Linked DNA regions of Bombyx mori. The protein of the gene in region 1 interacts with the protein of each later gene in a pairwise test. Links are inferred from orthologs where the notes say so. Each region holds a gene or a part of one and is shown in the gene's direction. Other genes may lie near its edges. The genes, in order: phospholipid scramblase 1 and mitochondrial matrix protein p33.

Region 1 (3,841 bases):
TTTATTTATAAACAATTTCTTAACAAACAGCGTAAAATTTTTTTTTTAAATGTTAATTAATACCTATGGTAGATGCAAAAACAGCAATATTAGATATTACGAAAAAAAACTATTTTTCATAACATTTTTTAGAAATTTCATTTTTTGTTAATTAAAAAAAATTATAATTATCAAAATAATAAAGATTAAAAAAATTTTTTTGCTTAACTTTATTAAGTACTTAAATGATAAGAGCTCCACGAAGGGAAAAATTTATAGATGAATTATTGTAGCTTTTATACCGTAATTTATAAAAACAGAGATTGGAAAAAAGTTAGTTAATTAACAATGGTGTAAATTTTTTAAAAATCGATATAAAATTTTTTTTTCACCGAGGTTTTTTTCGTTCAAGTGTTTAGATTACACCATAATTTATTCAAATTTTTAAATTGTTATTTAATACTATAAAAAAAATATTTTAGGTGATATACCGGCTTTTTAGACGGCGCGCCTATGGCGTAACGACCTCGCGGAGCGCTATTTTCAGCGTTAATTTTTTTTTATAAATAATAGAGATAGAATTCCGGAAGTTGGGACTTTTTTATTGGAAATTTCCTCCTCTTTCAGCATCTTTTTTCAAAATTCCTTAAATATCATTATTTTAGAAATAATTAAGGAAAAACCAAATTCCTTTTTTTTTAAATCTTATTTTGTTTATAACAATCGCAATTTTTTATGTGCTAATAAGCCCTTAAAAAACATTTTTGTAGACATCATTCCGCATCCAATGAGCTATCGTACATATTTTTAGGAGCTTTATGTCTATTTAACACGTTTTTGAACTTGTTGACTAGACTATACTGTAAGGACGCACTGATCAGTATCATTGTTTTGTCTATTTTTGTCATGAAGTATGTCAAGCAGGTACATTCCGGTTTGAAAATTAGTATAGCAGATAATGTAATACAATTAAAAAATGGATCAGGTTTCGTCATTCTTATGAATTGTAAGTGAACTAATTTGCCCATCTACATATGTGTGTTAAAAGTCTCGTTGTTAAACTTTCTGTTAAACTCTCTATTAAAAGTCATTGTCATTTCATTTTAAATAATAATCACACGTTGGACTGGGAATTGGGTAAAACACGAAAACGATTCTCTCTTTGTAGCACTACAAGTACATCAATAATACGGGAGTGGCCTTGTCTAATTGTGGTAGTTAACGAAACTGCTATGACATAACATGAATTAAAAATACAAGGTGAAATATTTCGCGAACCTGAATAAGAATAAATGTTATGATAACATAAACGAAAAAGCATTTTAATCCAAATAAACTGTTTATAAGTCTGAAATTCCTTGAGACTATTGTTATTGGTGACAATGACTGTTTACGTCGCGGTGAAAGCGCAATTTTGCAGCGATCCCTATAATACCATAGCTAATCGTCCAAATTAACCGTTTGGTGACAGACAGTAAATTAATTTTGTTCACGAGCACTAAGCGTAACTAGGATTGACTATCTGAGAACAAAAACATTCCCCTGTACATCAATTGCAATTCATTGTGTCCATTGTAGCGAATTTTTGACGAGCTGAATTAAAATAGTAACATAATTGAATATTTATTTTGTTTGATGGCTTTACCAATATACCTATGAAATTGCTTAATATTTGATGACACTGCCTCTTCTTTGTTGCTCCTAGAATCCAACATAAAAACTTTCAAAAATATATTTTGTAATGAATGAGATTAAATAATTAAGTCTCGAACACAAAAAATTTTCCAGGTGTATTCGAAGGATGGAGAAACGAAAGTTGGCAAAATCACGAAGTCGTGGTCTGGATTTGCACGCGAAGCCTTCACCGATGCCGACAATTTTGGGATAAGTTTCCCGATGGACCTGGACGTCAAAATCAAAGCTGTACTCCTTGGAGCATGTTTTCTCATAGTAACTATGTTTTTTCTTAATTTTGCTAACGACAAAACTATTACTGAAGCACTTTTTTTATATTATCGGCTGAATTATGACATGTGAGCTCAGGATCGCTAATTATAATTAGTTATCGGATTCTATAGACGTGACGTGGAAATTGAATGGAAAATTTGAAATCGTCGTGCCTAAAAGATAAGACGTCCGGTGCATTCTTATGTAGCGATGCATCGGTGTTCGAATCACGCTGGCAGGTACCAATTTTTCCAATGAAGTACGTACTTAACAATGTTCACGATTGACTTCCACGCTGAAGGAATAACGTCGTGTAATAAAAATCAAAACGCGCAAAATTATAATTTGTGTAATTACTGGTGGTAGGACGTCTTGAGAGTCCGCACGGGTGGGCTCCGATAACCACGTAATCACATCAGGTGGTCCGGTCCGTGAGTTCATCCAACTATCTAAGCAATAAAAATAAAATCTTGATAGAACAGTTACCTCATCCGTTCAATCTTATACCGTTTAAAAAAGACTATAATAGGCACCTATAAAATAATTTATTTTTATTATTACTTTACTGTCATGGTTCCATATTTTTAATAATCGGAAGTTACGATATCATTCATAATGCCAACTGGTTCCCAATTTTAAGTAGTATTACCGTTTCGCTCACAGTCCCTTACAGTGAGTACAGAGATAAGTACAATATACTCCATATTCTATTGTTTTTCTATATTAGTTTAGTAGGGTAGATGAACTCACGGTCTACAGGGAGTGTTATGTTGATACCGAAATGAATAGACATTACATCACATTTTTGGAACCTCTGGGTCTGCGGAAGGACTTCGGTTCCCTCTTTTTTTTGTACCGTATGTTCCATGGGGAGTGCTCTGAGGAATTGTTCGAGATGATACCGGCATCTCGTTTTTACCATCGCACCGCCCGCCACCGGAGTAGAGTTCATCCATACTACCTGGAGCCACTGCGGTCATCCACAGTGCGTTTCCAGAGGTCTTTCGTGCCACGTACCATCCGGCTATGGAATGAGCTCCCCTCCACGGTTTTTCCCGAGCGCCATGACATGTCCTTCTTCAAACGAGACTTGTGGAGTGTATTAAGCGGTAGGCAGCGGCTTGGCTCTGCCCCTGGCATTGCTGAAGTCCATGGGCGACGGTAACTATTCACCATCAGGTGGGCCGTATGCTCGTCTGCCCACAAGGGCAATAAAAAAAATGAAAAAACACGAAAACTGCCATTTAGTTGAAAAAATGAGAACCCATGCTTGTGAAGCTGGAAAATACTCTGGACCTTTCTTCCCCTGTCTATTCGCTGGTAGCCTAATGGGTTACTCGTAACTACACGCGGACGGGTAGGTGAGCTCACAGGTTCACCCTGGGAGAATTTGCTTACACGAGCCCTAACAAGAGCAGTGCTTCGCAGAATCTACAACTGGATCTGAATCGCGATCCGCTGAGAAGATCCGGCGAGAAACTCAATGGCTTGTGTCTATGGGTTAGGGCTCTGGACCAAAAGCAATCCCACAACCCTAATAAATAAAAATTAAAATGTGCAAGCCGTAGGTTCTTCACATAATCTCTTACTTATTGTGCCAGAATGTTTCAGTCAACTTCATTAGTTACAGGCATACATATCAAGAATACCAATGCTGCAATCAATTTTCAATCGAAATTCCGAATATTCAATAGGAATATACATTAATTAAATATTATCTTTACAGGATTTTATGTTCTTTGAAAAAGGCAACAACAATCGCAACTGATGAATTCAAATTTCTTCAACACAACTGAACTTTTTTTTTTATATTCAAAAAAGAAGGGCCAAGGCCTTATTGATTACCACTGCTGCAACTTCCAACTATGAGATTTAAGTTTTGATACGATTTTACATGTTTTTCTAATATTAAGAT
Region 2 (2,945 bases), on another chromosome or scaffold:
TACGACTATCGGTTTTTGCGACTTAATATGAGCAGTCCCTTCGATGTCGTTATAACAGATTTTGACTGTATATCCAAACTCGCTATCTGTAGTACTATTCTCTACTCTAAAAATGTTAACATCCTACTAACTTATATTCTGACAGGCACAATGAAATATAGTGTTGAATAGTATAGTTGGATTTTCTCTGTTGATCTGCAGTTATTACTATTCATCATTATAATCAAGAGTAATGTAAATCTAATGTAGTTGTTGTAGTTAATAAAATAGTAGTGAAATGAGAGAAATTAAAAAAATACCTTGTTTGTGTATTATAAACTTGTTGTTTGTTGATTAAAATTCATTACCTACTTATTGAATGTTTTACAGTATTGTAGAATAAATTGCACTTATTTTCATTCTCAATGTACATAATAAAACCAATTTATATAAATTCAGGTGAAAGAGAACTGGTAGAGTTCCTGACAGAAGAAATAGTTGCTGAACGCAAAGCACAGAAGGTCAAGTCTCTCCCTGCTGAAGTCGAAGGCTTTACTGTAAAGGGAGACGGTGCTGAAGTTGTTTTAACAAAGCAGCTTAAAGATGAAACGTAAGTAATGAAATCTTGAGAAGGAGAAATATTGAATAATTTTTTTTTGGGGAAACAGTTGTTAATAAATGTTGCCAAATACTTATTTTACTGCCCAGCAATCTTCGTCAATTTGTTGAAATTCGAAAAACTAAAGAAACAAGCCCACAGAAATATCATTAAAAATAGTGAAATTTTAAGTCTAACTATATATTTTTTTCAGAATTCGTGTCACATTCAACGTTAATCACACTGTGGACTCTGATGACTTTGAGGGTGATGTTCAGACTGAGAAGCAAGAGTTCTCTGAGATGCGTTCCAAACCTCAGTTTGAGGTTGACCTAGTCCGAGGAGACACCACCCTTGGTTTCACCTGCTCCTATCTTCAAGATCCACCTGCAGCTTCTGCTGATGAATATAGTGAGTATACATAAACTTAATTATTTCTTGATTCTGATTAATCAAATGGGTCTAAAGATTGAGTACTAAGAAGTCAAAATAGTCTGTTTACCATATCGACGCTTGAAAGACAAACGTGACTAAGCGACAATAACTGCTTTGTACATAAATGATAGGTAATAACCATATTCAATGCACAAAAAAAAATATTTCTAGGTCTATTAAAAGCATTCCAATCCTACAGCTACTAGCTAGATTCTACTACAGCTAGATTCATTAAAATAAATTTTGTTTTCAAATATTTCAACTTTAAATTAGTCTACTGTAAAGTTCACGCACTGTCGCTTAGTCACATTTGCCTTTCAAGTGTCGATATACAATTTACAAAGAAAAAAGTTTATTTCAGTTTAGAATTTGGTGATAGTGCAAGAATGTGTCAAGACTCACCCTCCCCTTTCCTTTTTTCCCTTTTTGTTTCTGCCATAATACAATTAATATATAACCTCAATCTTAAATATCAAGGTGTCATCATTATTCACTTTTGATCTGTGTATAGGGGTATCAAAATTGCTGTTGTATTAGATGAAGTACTAAAGGTGTGAAGGTAGCAAGAATCCAGTAGATCTGAGCAGCATGATGTCGATGTTTTTTTTTTATTGCTTTGATGGGTGGACGATATCACAGCCCACGTGGTGTTAAGTGGTTACTGGAGCCCATAGACATCTACAACGTAAATGCGTCACCCACCTTGAGATATAAGTTCTAAGGTCTCAAGTATATATTCAAACCGAAACGCATTACTGCTTCACGGCAGAAATAGGCAGGGTAGTGGTACCTACCCGTGATGATTCACAAGAGGTCCTACCACCAGTAATAATGCAAATTATAATTTTGCGGGTTTGATTTTTTGGGGGTTGTTTTGGACCTTCAGGAGGCCTTTATCTAACAGTAGTTGTCTGTAAATTTGATTATTGAAAATAAAATGAAAATATATTAAAATAGTCTATGTAAGCAAAAATAATTCAATTATTGACATTGTTAGCATTGAATCAACACATTATAGACAAAAAAGATCAGAGCTTTTTGCAAATATAAATTATTTGGTATCACATACAAAATACCAGATTATAATTTTTATAGTTCTATAGGGGCAAAAATGATTGAAAATTTCCACTTCACGCAAAAGATATGTTAAGTCGTAAGATTTGTTCAGATCCGGCCATGCTGTAAGCTTTGGTCATAGTAGTTCTCAGAGGCTAGTAGGCTAATGTAATTGCAGTTAATCAACTCAACTTCAACGGAAACTAAGTACTATAATTTAACTACTTTTAAATTGTGTTTTCAGACGATGTGTTCGGCATTGACGAAATAACCCTATATAAGGGTGAATGGAATGACAAAGTGTATGCAGTCGCTGGTGATGTGCTCGATGGGGTATGTTATCTATTCATCTTTATTTAGTATGTAAGATACAGCATCTTGTCGGTTTTATATAATACTAGCCGTACTCGCCCGCTTCGCTTGGGATTTAAAATTAACATTATTATTTATTGTCATTATTATTAGGGAGTCCAACACTCATATAAATATAAGTACATGTATTTTCTACATGGATACTAAGTTTCAAGTCAATCGGCATGGCTCAGTAGTTATAACGGAACATCCGTAAAAACCACTAGATTGATATATTAGTATAGATATTAGTTTCACATATTATTATATCAGCTCAAAAAGATCTGAAAGCCAACCTCTCTATGTGTATTTTCTAGTAAGTAGCTTACAAGTTGCTTAGAGAGATTTAATTTTAGTTTCAAGCCACTTGGACACAAATTTTATGTAAAATTAAACAACACATAAGGCACTTAGTTTAATTGTTTTTTCAAATAAATTTGATAGGACCTCATTGTGTGATCAACAGCATACCAAAAGGAATCTTGTAAATCCCAAGAAATATACCTACGTTTTATTGTAATGAATC

What was found.
Region 2: the proteins of phospholipid scramblase 1 (region 1) and mitochondrial matrix protein p33 interact in a two-hybrid assay, tested with the Caenorhabditis elegans proteins (2 studies listed by BioGRID). The link is inferred for Bombyx mori from reciprocal best matches to the Caenorhabditis elegans genes scrm-1 and cri-3.

The regions. Positions count from the first base shown.
Region 1 is NC_085111.1:8,953,109-8,956,949, reverse strand, and holds part of phospholipid scramblase 1, read left to right. Parts: intron 1-1,767; coding exon 1,768-1,929; intron 1,930-3,652; coding exon 3,653-3,694; 3' UTR 3,695-3,841.
Region 2 is NC_085114.1:15,032,374-15,035,318, reverse strand, and holds part of mitochondrial matrix protein p33, read left to right. Parts: intron 1-438; coding exon 439-589; intron 590-791; coding exon 792-988; intron 989-2,312; coding exon 2,313-2,401; intron 2,402-2,945.